Linked DNA regions of Kluyveromyces lactis. The protein of the gene in region 1 interacts with the protein of each later gene in a pairwise test. Links are inferred from orthologs where the notes say so. Each region holds a gene or a part of one and is shown on either strand. Other genes may lie near its edges.

Region 1 (2,878 bases):
TCAGAGGAATATGAAATATCGGGATATATGATGGGTAAAACAGAGGGAAAAGGACAAGACTGGCATGCACACATTACTGCTGTGACGATATCACCTAGGTTCAGGAGAATATCGCTTGCATCGATGCTATGTGACACATTAAAAACCATAACAGATAACTCCCCGCATAATGTGAACTTTATTGATTTATTTGTGAAATGCAATAACCAATTGGCGATCAGTTTATATGAAAAATTGGGATATTCTGTCTATAGAAGAGTTGTAGGATATTACAACTCGCAAACTGATCCAATACCTTCCCGGTCAACAAAACCAAATGACCTCAAGGATGCCTTTGACATGAGACATGGGATGGAAAGAGACCAGGGAAAAAGTCTTCGTGCTGATGGACGGAAACATAATTGCTTGCCGATGGACATACGGTTTTAATGCTGTACTTTTAAAATTATAATAGCTTTTAAATTTGTATACTTAGTGTTTCTATGTTACACATGCGTCTTTCCCTGCTTTTACTTCGATAGATTGCTCGATTCATTTCGTGTTAGCTTCAATTTCCCGGTGTGTTAAGAGGTAGTTGAGATAATAGGTATTTAATGGGGTTCTGTTAAGATTCAACATCATGGACTGGTGGCTTGTTGGCAGCATTACGATTTCCACCACGGAAGCCACCGCGGTTACCGCCACGGTTACCTCTATATCCACCACGACCTCTGAAGCCGCCACGACCATTGTTTCTTGGTCTGGCTTGACCGAAAGTATCCAAGTTGACCTGGCGTTCCTCTTCCCATTTGGCAGAAGACGAGTTTTCTACGGCGGAACTTGAAATGGAATCAAAGAATGAGGATTTTTTATCGTAGAAAATCTCATCTGTCTTGGAGGTTTGCTTCTCTTGTTCTATATCTGATTCTCTGGGCTTTTCAGCATTCTGGAATTTGGCGTTGTTACTTTCGAAATCAAATTCAGAATCTGGAACAGCAGAAGGAGCCACCGCAGCCACAGGAGCAGCAGGAGCCGCAGACTTCTGCTGTTGCTGGTTAGGAACTTTCTTTTCGGTAACAGGCTGTTGGCGGGTCTGCTGTCTTTGCTGCTGCTGTTTTTGCTGGTGTTGTTGGGGAACTTGCTGCTGATCCTTGTCTGGAGCGTACACACCATACCCGGCCACCGCAGCAGGAACGTTGGGCCCATTTGCATTAGCCAACGGAGCTGGTGGTTGACCGCTTACCTGAGGTGGCAATACAGGTTGTACTTGTTCCAAAGGAACGTCTAAAATGTTTAAATCCTTAACGTCATTACCGTTGAAAGGCACCGTATCGTAGATATTAGGGTTGGGATAGATTTCTTCCGGGCCCCATCCCTTGCGTCCCTCTGTACCGAAACAACGAACTTGTCTTAAAGTAACAACACCTTTCTCAGAGTCAATAGACTCCAATAAGCCGACATAACGGTTATCAGTATTCGAAATAAGAGCAATAGTCTTACCAATATATTGCGACATCCTTTCAAAAAGTGGACACTCTATAATCAATAAATTAACTTCTAAAACCCACTAGATACAAACAAATATCCTTCTTGAACAACGATCAAAGTGTGGGAATAGTTCTAAATTAAGAGCGAACGTTAGCAGATGCAGTCAGTATTATTCAATGTCATAGTCCCTTAGATTTCTAAAGATTCTTCAATTGGAAATACCTGCATGGAAATTCATAGTTTTGACGGTTTCAATATTAATTTTCGATGTTGACGAATGGCATTTCAAAACCACGTGATCAATATCAACACTTTTTTTTTTTCTTTTCGAAGAATCCTCACTTCGAGGCAGACGAGAGCCAAAAAATGTGTGGAGAAGGGACATTACAGCCGAAAAACTGGAAAATAATCTGTGATAAGTGACCGCTATTCATCTAATTGGGGAATAATTCTGGGAAAGTAACTACTATATAAATGGAATATAATTTCTAAGGTGTAAAGTGCAAAATGTTCCTGTTTTCAAGCCTAAACTCTTCGGTTGGAAGCGGAGAATAATAAAATCAAAAAAAAAAGTAAATTTAGTACTTTGCAGTGCTTATTGAATGAATCACCGCCCCTCTAACAATTTATTGTGAACAGGAGATAATCAATTTTATAAACGCCGAAGTTTAGTAGATCAGGGTCAATTAAATCACGTACCACCGTAACATATGGCAAGTTTAGAGAATGCTTTCGTTGGGGCAGTCTCCAGCGGGTTTGCCAATTTGGCAGTGTATCCACTTGATTTGGCGAAAACTGTGATTCAAACTCAGTTGAAACAAGGTGATTTGTACCCTTCTTCTGATGTTCAAGCTGATGTCTCTACCAAGGAAAGTACTGGCTCCAGTAAACCGAAGAAACACGGTATACAGCAGATTAAACCGAAGCCTGAACCTCCGACAGCGACTAAAGAGTCATTGGAGCAGCGGTATAAGCATGCATTAGATGTGATTGTAAAAGTTTATCGGAATGAAGGGTTTGGTGGATTATACCATGGGTTAAGCGCATCATTGCTTGGAACTTTCATACAGAGTTTCTCTTATTTCTTCTGGTATACCTTGATCAGAAGACATTATTTCCGTGTGAAGAAAGTGAAGGGTGAGGCTGCCAGGTTTTCAACAATTGAAGAATTGCTGCTTTCCATGCTGGCAGCAGCAACCTCTCAGTTATTCACTAATCCAATCAACATTGTTTCGACAAAACAACAGACTAGACGTGGTTTAGAAGGGGACAACAGTTTCAAGGCTATTGCCAAGGAGGTTTATGATGAGGATGGGATTACTGGATTCTGGAAAAGTCTGAAAGTCTCGTTAGTCCTAACGATAAATCCTTCCATTACTTATGCCTCAGCCGAGAAATTGAAAGATATACT
Region 2 (4,193 bases), on another chromosome or scaffold:
AAAGTGTCGTTTCAGTAACTAAGGAATAGAGAAAAACAAGGCGTTAAAAATAATTATATGTGAATCACTTCAGTACATGAAAGGTAAACACATTTTTCAATCCGAGAACTATTATTTTGCGCTATGAATAAAAGAAAAAGTTGAATTGATCATCAGCCTTTTCAGCCATTGAAGGCAAACGATCCCCTGCAATGGAGACATTGTTATTGGGAAAGAATTGAGAGTCCCTTCTGATATTAGTTGAATTCTGAGGATGGTTTTCTTGATTTTGCAAGTTGTCAAATTGTGGTGAGAACGAAGTGAATGGATTATGGAATTGGGCATATTGGGAGCCCATATATGTTCTCTGTTGAGCTTGTTCGTACAGACCAGCGGAGTTGTTCGCCTGGGATGACATAACAACACTGTCCCTGGCAAATATACTTATTTGAGAATCATGCGAAGCGTTCTGTAAATAGTTGAAAGTGGACAGATTCTGGACATTAAGTTTAGGAGCTTCATTAAGGCCGTTACTATTTTCTCTGGAATCAGTAGAACTGCCATTGGTGTTAGTGGAAGACAGTGGTATCGAAGAGGACGAACTTTGAACATGGATAGATGAAAAAGGAGATGAAACAGAGCCATTGCTAGTATTTGTGCTAGCACTGTTGTTGCCGTGATTTGACATCTCGGTCCTATTGTACAAACTGAAAGATTTTTCATTCTCACTTCTTTCAACTGTGGTTGAGACGGAAAATGATGGCGTGACATTAAAACTCAGTGGCGGTTGGGGAGCAGAAGAACCACTGTAATTCCATACAGGGTTAGCAGGAGTCGTGTTATCTTTCACAGCTTCTTCAGTATAATGTGGCGATGTAGACATGTCCATACTACTTCCACCTGATGCGTTACTGTTCTCTCTAGTAGTGAAAGCCACACTGAATCCATTTTTCTGTGGGTATATCTTTCCCGATCCAGCACCATCGATGGAGAAGCTTTTTGTTACGGACTCTGGTTTAGCAATATTGGGCAGTGAGTTGGCTTTAACCCTTTTAACAGCTGTATGGACGTATCTCTTCTTTTCCGTATCTAATTTGAAACCGCAACAATTTTTCTCTAAGAATTTTTTGTTCGAATAAACTAGGACTTGGACTCTTGATGAGTGCTCTTCCTTTGCGGTAAGCTTATTCTTTGACTTTCCAACTAACCTATCCGGTAAGTTATCCATGGATAAGAGCTTTTCATCATTAAAGTCAGATAAAGTGAATTTCGTAGGTCCAAATTCTTTTAACATGATATCTTCTTCATAGAAGTAATCTCTGGTCGGTCTATGTAGATGTTCGAAACTGATCGACAAATCATTACTAGACAGTAACTCGTTTGTGAGGTTGACCATAGACTGACAGAAAGAAGTTGATCTATGGGCGAATTTTAGCACATTTTTATGAGATTTTATCCAGCACATCATTATTCTAGCCATTGCCAAATACTGAAACATCTCGCAGTTTTTAAATTCCTTCATAATGACTTTATCAATGAGGTGAGTGAAAAACTTGAAGATAAACTCTAAAAATTTGGTTTCTGATTGTATACTTCTAATATTGCTGTTGCCACTGTTATTGATACTGTTGGCGGATCCGTTCCCGTTCATCAGTGTTTTATCATTAGGCATAATAGTTGCAGCAGATGAAGTTGTATTTGAAGAAACACCATTGATCATTTGATACATGTGGAAACTACCTATTAGAAGGATCAAATCTTGGAAAATCATAGAAATGTTCTTAATGTACCTAATTTCTATCTTATCGAAAAGCAAAGTTTGAAAATGCTTCAGACGATCTGAATGTCTATTATTCTTCCAAGTCTGAGGGAAGATATGAGATCCGATTAATGGAAGAATATAAAACTCCATAATTTCCATGTTTATTATTCTTTTTTTAATAGTTTCCTGCACTTTCAAATCATCTAAGGAGTTAAGTAGTTTCTTGAATAGGGATCCGTTGGGATCACCTAACAAGTTTGTGAAGTTGGGGATCCCAGCATCACTTGGTAATCTTGACAAAGAGCTTCTAACAAATTGATAAGCTGCATTGCCGAAATTTTTGGTATGCGTGTAGCAGATACCTCTTTGTAAGAAAGTTTCTCCTACAGATGGCACGATAGTGGAAGCGATATCCAGATATCTCAGAGGTTTCTGGAAATCTGCCTGTTGGTATCTGTCGGACAAATGTTCCATTATGATCTTATATCTTTGGGAACATCCGATGTAGAGTAAACATCTTTGTGATGCCATGACGCAATCAATAGAAAAAGAGTCCTCTGGTTTTAAAACATTTGAAGCATCATCGTTCAGTTTCTTCGTTGAGATGTTCAATTTCGATCTAGTATCCGAGGGAATCAATGCAGTAAGGTTGTAATTTGCGAATATAAGTTCTAGCGTTGAATAGTAAAGTTTATGGATCTGTGGGAAGATTTTTTGTAGAATAGAGTTCAATTGCCTGTGACCAGCATAGTTCGGTCTGGAACCCTCTGCAACGTTCCTATTTCTCCAATTTTGGAAATACTTGAATATGGGGTAATGGACGTGCTTCCAAGTCAAGTCCAAAATACGATGTGCATCTGACGAGCGGATCTCCGATTTTTTTGATCCGGTGTCAGTAGTAATATCTTGATGAAGGCCTTCCGGTATAAGCGACTGAAGCAACATCTGCATGATTTTTGAATGTATCATTTGAATAGCGCCCTTCATCAAGCTGTCATCTCTAAAGAAATCGGTTTCCAGGACAGATTGTAACTGTTTTTGGAACCCGGAAAAGGTTTCCTGTAAATCAGTATTCAGTTTTTGATCCATTTTATAACGTATACGCTCATCCAATGGGTACAGGACAAAAAAGAGTGTTAAGATTAGGTATTAGTACTATTATCGTCGTTGTGAGTGGGAGAAACACCGAAAAAAAAAATCTGAAGCTCTTTCTTCTTTCCTTCAATAACAGAGAAAGCTTAATTCTAAAACCTGTAAAAATCAACAAAGACAACAGGAGACGAACAAGTTATGAGTGAGACCTTTCTCTAATCTTCTTACTTGAGTAGCAGGGACTGAATAAATCAAAAGACCAAAAAAATAACAACTATGATACGGAATAAAAAAGAAAACCTAAGATAAAAAAAAAACTCTACCTTAGTTTCTTACTTTATAACGGTTTTTTTGTTCCTCAATTTTTGTAAATCTTTCTTGCCTTGTTCTTTGACGAATTTTTTAAAGAAAGGTTTACTTTTTTTTTTAAATTTTTCAATATTATTTCCGTCTATTCTTCTAGCTGGGCCAAAATTTGAGTTTTCTTTCCGTCTGATCTCCTCTAAGAATCTCCTTTATATCTTCACTTCCTGGGTTGGAAAATGTCTATTTATTAACACACTTATCCAGAATAGAATAGAAATATTTCAATGTATCACACACACCAAATTTTCCGAAATGTTGTGCTGTGATAAACGGGCGGTCGTTTGTGAGGTATGGTGCCGATAAGAAAGAGAGTTCAAAAAGTAGGCAGTAAAGAAAGAAAAAATTCAAAAACAAACACACACGAAAGTATAAATACTAAAGAGAAAGAAATTTGGTGCGAGTGTAATAATCCACACACATACAATGAAGAATCAACCGACAGAGTATAAAAATAAAAAAGTAAAAAAAAAGAAGTAGAATAATCTGTCCCTATAATAACACCTTCTCTAGTTTCACTGGATGAATAGATGATATAAATGACCTGATCTGATTCTGATTCTGATTCTGCCTGGATATATCAAACATATATGCAAGCATTCAGGATCTAAAACAATCCGAAATAACACCGATGCACAGACATAGTATATATACATATATATATATATGTAATTCTTTTTTTTCAATACTATCTGGGTTAAACAATTTGTAGGAAATCCAAAACGTTAATATATTGTGCGAAAAAATGTCGACAATACTGCAAAAAAATTATAAAAAAAAATTATTCTCGATCTGGAAAAAATCCCATCAGTAATGCAGATGTGACAAAGAAATCAGGGAGAACAGGGGGAAAAAACGCAGTTAATTTTTTTTTTTCTCATTGATTTTCTTTTTCATATTTTTGATATACGGGAAGGTACATCAGGATCTGACGCGTTAATACAAAGGAAGAGCAGAGAGCTCATGAGTACTCAGAGATGAACGGTCAGCAGATTGC
Region 3 (4,193 bases), on another chromosome or scaffold:
ATAACGCTTTCCACACGGTATTGAATATGGAACCATGACCAACTGAAGTAGGATTTCTTGAGTCGTCTTCATGGCCATTCGTTTCTAGCGCAACTATTTCTGTGCTGATTTCAGTGAAAGCAATTACAGTGAAAAATTCGATATACCTTTCTACAACTTGAGATAAAAAGATGATCAATTCCTTCCGTACCATTGGACTACCATCGTTGACTAGCGAAAGGGTTGTGATAATGGTCTTAATCTCAAATTGTTTGAGGTTGCGTAAATTAATACTTTGCAATTGACTCATTGATGTTTGGACTTGTTGGGATTGTTGCTGAATTTGATAGTATTGTTGCTGTATGTGATGCGTACTATTCTGTTGATTTCCCTGTTGCTGCTGCTGCTGCTGGTTTTGTTGAGATTGCAAAAGCTGCAGCTGCGCTTGGAATTGTTGTAATTGTTGCTGAAATTCTTGTTGGAGTTTCAAGATAATGTTAACATCGTCTTCTTCAGAAAGGAAGTACTTGATTGCTAATAACGCAGCACATCTGATCTCTGGAATTGGATCTTTTAAAGACTCTATGATTGTATTCATATTTTCATTTTCGAGGCATAATGTCTTATGCAATGGATTGTGAATGTATAACTGACCAAGTAAAATGATACACCACTGTCTTAATAACGGAACTTCAGAATTTTCGATAAAGAAGCATAACTTGTTTACTAATTCAGTGCTGAAACAGTGTTTTTGACCAAGGGGGAAATCGCGAACAAAGCACGATAGGACAAATGCTGCCATTGCCTTTTGTTCATCTGTAGTATTATTGTTAGATAATAACGTCGCGTTATTATATGCTTGCTGCTGCTGCTGCTGTTGATACATCTGGTACCTCTGTGTTGAAGAACTTGCAGGTACATTCATAGTCAAGGGACTTCCAGCACTACTGACACTATGTCCTCTTGGGACACCAAACTCAGGTACAAGCATCTTTACAAAGTATTGGTATCCACGCTCCTTTATAAGTTCTGTTTGGGTATTTTTATAGTCAATAGAAAAAATTCTAGCCCAAATGAACACTAGAATTGGTTTCAACTCATGGGCAGGACTTTGTAGCAGTTTGGAAACATAAGGGAATATCCCAATTGAAAGTGATAGGTATACAGCCCATGGTCCAAGATCAAGAAATCTAGATAGCAGTACCAAAGTCCTAACACGATGGACTTGTGATAAGAGAACCTGTAGTACTATGGGGAGCTGCTCAGGTGGATGTCTTGAATTAGCCCCATATTTCACCCATAAATCAAATGCGGTTAAATTTTGCTCAAAAAATTTCGTAAATTGTTGCTGTTGTTGTTGAGAGGTAGTCGGGTGCGAGGCTGAATTACCGCTGGAGGTATGTGCTGTTGAACTAAAGTTTACCAATGACATGGAGCTCAGGTTTCCAATAGTATTTTTCGATTGCAGCCCGTCATTGGTTTCATTGCCTTCGTTTGGTTGGCTTATAAACTGTGATTCAGGGAAGTTTGAATTCTTTGCATTAGCATGAGCACTTTCCAGAAGTTTGGTCAATACTTCGTCGATTGCTAGATCCCACGATCTCCACATTGGATGATCAGCAATTGAGTCTGGTAACTCTGGGTCTGATACTGGATGACAATTGTACCAAGGCATTATTCTTTTGGCGAGTAAAAAGTTACGAAATAATGCCGCGACCATGAGGTCATGTCTGAATAGCTTCTTAAATAGTGCTCTTGGTAATGATGTCCATGCAATGGTATCTGTAATAGCAGTAAATATCCAATTCAATTCACCAAGGGGAGTCCTACGCTCAGACAATTTCCCCGGTATCGTAATGTTAGGCATTTCATTCACACCCGTCTCTTTTCTTCTAGGATCGTTATCTTGGAAGAACACGGAATATTTGGTGTCTTTCAAAGGAGATTGCATTAGAAACACCTTAACAGATATTTCTATTGGATTCGTTAGACAACAGGTGAAAAAATCTGCGGGTAATTCAGGGTTCATGGGCAATAATTCGTTGTTTGCACATGACGCTAATTGCACACATTCAGTGTATGCTTCTGTAGGTGAAGGTGATGCCATATCATGATTGCCTTCTCTATCGTCTCTCAATCTCTTTTGAACAAACTTTTTAAAGTTGGATACAATGTTACCAGCACTATTGCAATCCCAGACATATATACAAGGGGCTCCTAGCCAAGTTTGTAAATCATATAATGAAACCGGGATATACTGAGTATATCCACGGTTGAAAACCCAGATTTCTCCAGATGGTGTTGGTTGTGGTACACCATGACCGTTATAATGGAACAGAATTCTTTCGTCTTTCGAAGCCCTTCTCAATGAATTACAGAAGCGTTTCACATCTTCCACACAGGGATCTAAGCTCTGTTTATAACGAGTACGTAGTGATAGCGTCTCGTATTGACTCTGTAAGTTCTTTCCTATTTGTTCAATAGCTTTCTTAGAATCCTGAAATGCAAGGGGATCAACCCATGATTCAAGTCTTGCACATGGCTGAGTCTTAGTCACATCAGGAGGATCCACTCCCAAATTCAAACATAGTAATAATGCTGCTGCAACTGTCTTCTGCCTGTCCTTAACTATTTTCCAATCAGGAATTGGCTGGTAATATCCATCCTTATCCTCTTGCTTCACTTCCTCAGGAACTGGATTCCCATTGGTTCGATGCCTCTTATCATCGTAATAAAATATAAAATTGCTAGCATGCGCCTCCAAGAGTTTCTCACTTGAATACTGCTCTTCAAACCCATGTCTAGTCTCAGTATTAAGCCGTGTCAAAGGCTGTGGGCCGTAAACAACCATTGCTTCAGGATTGGTTCTATTCACAACTGGTTCTGATAAAAGTGGCAGTACCGGTCGATTCTGACAAAATTTAAACGCAGAAAATCGTACAAATAGTAATTACCTAACTGCTAGTCAATGAAGACTCGCTAAATTGACTTCAAACCCACTAAATGCTCTTCAAAAACCTTATCTTTCCAATCATTCCACACTTACTGACCAGTATCTGTATATGAGCTTACAGTATTTTTACGCAAACACTTTGAGTATATTGTTACCCGAATATTTTATATCAGGGTAACGTTGGGAAGATATCCAATAAAGTTATATCAACCACTTCAATACCCCCTCGATTGTAACCCAGATATTTAATAACCACAGTTTATCTAACTTTTACTGGTTTGCGCTTTCAAGTGCACTAAATGGGACCGTTATTGGATACTTTTATGTGTTTTTATTTTGATCTACGTTATAAATATGCAATTTCACATACCAAATGCTTGGTGAAATATTCACTTTGACAGGCGATGAGATGAGATAAGATCAAGGTTCATGCGGGGAACTAGTACTTATGAGTAGCCTGTTTTCATCTATTTCGACTGTTACAGCATTCTTTCAGGGTATCTGATCTATCACGAATATACTGCGTGCTCTTTATTCTCTGAGATGGCTTCTACTAATAATAATCCCAAAGTTCTATTGAAGAGGACGTTCTCACTGAAGGAACAATCTTCGCTAATACTATGTACCGATACGATGGCACAAAGCAGCCGATTTGTGGTTGAGGAATTCCTAGATAACATACCAGACGAAATGCCGATCGTTTTCGTATCATTTGAGACTCCAAATAGACCGAAATATGCACGCCAATTCATAGATGCGTCGGGGAAAACCACCCAGCAACTAGTTGCAGCATTACAACCATACCTACCGCAGCCACAGGAACAAGCTCCTAAGATGCATTTAGTGATCTTTGATACATTCAATTATATCGGTTCTGAAAGCTTGACACAATTCATATCTACCATTGCATCGCCATTTGTGACAATATTGGCTACATATCATCAGTCGATACCAGCCTGGCGTCCAGCAGAACTCCAGAACTATCCAACTGCGATCCAACTCTTGCAATTTATTGCTAATACGGTTATAGAAGTTACTCCGAAGACTTCCATAGACGAGGACGATTTGGATGCAGATTTAAGTAGATTTGTGATACCCAAGAACTTGAACAATCCCACATATTATATCACTCTAACGAACAAGCGAAAGTCCGGTAGGGCTATCAAGAATAAGTTCTTAATCAATTCGAAAACACATGATTATGAATATGTGATAGAGAAACAAGAACCAGTAACGGACGAAAGTCCAGAAATGTTTGAGG

The links. The genes of interacting proteins can lie anywhere in the genome.
Region 2: the proteins of SCD6 (region 1) and EBS1 interact in a two-hybrid assay, tested with the Saccharomyces cerevisiae proteins (2 studies listed by BioGRID). The link is inferred for Kluyveromyces lactis from reciprocal best matches to the Saccharomyces cerevisiae genes SCD6 and EBS1.
Region 3: the proteins of SCD6 (region 1) and KOG1 interact in a two-hybrid assay, tested with the Saccharomyces cerevisiae proteins (2 studies listed by BioGRID, with this or other methods). The link is inferred for Kluyveromyces lactis from reciprocal best matches to the Saccharomyces cerevisiae genes SCD6 and KOG1.

Annotation. Positions count from the first base shown.
Region 1 is NC_006038.1:986,116-988,993, forward strand, and holds SCD6 (Scd6p), read right to left. Parts: upstream 1,496-2,878; coding exon 605-1,495; downstream 1-604. Other genes in the region: peptide alpha-N-acetyltransferase complex B subunit NAT3, read left to right, coding at 1-429; ANT1 (Ant1p), read left to right, coding at 2,178-2,878.
Region 2 is NC_006042.1:1,926,938-1,931,130, forward strand, and holds EBS1 (Ebs1p), read right to left. Parts: upstream 2,831-4,193; coding exon 122-2,830; downstream 1-121. UniProt on the Saccharomyces cerevisiae protein: Plays a role in nonsense-mediated mRNA decay (NMD). Recruits UPF1 to cytoplasmic mRNA decay bodies (P-bodies). Negative regulator of gene expression. Inhibits translation most likely through effects on eIF-4E (CDC33). Involved in telomere maintenance.
Region 3 is NC_006037.1:828,955-833,147, forward strand, and holds the start of KOG1 (ubiquitin-binding TORC1 subunit KOG1), read right to left. Parts: upstream 2,831-4,193; coding exon 1-2,830. Other genes in the region: Elongator subunit IKI1, read left to right, coding at 3,476-4,193. UniProt on the Saccharomyces cerevisiae protein: Component of TORC1, which regulates multiple cellular processes to control cell growth in response to environmental signals. Nutrient limitation and environmental stress signals cause inactivation of TORC1.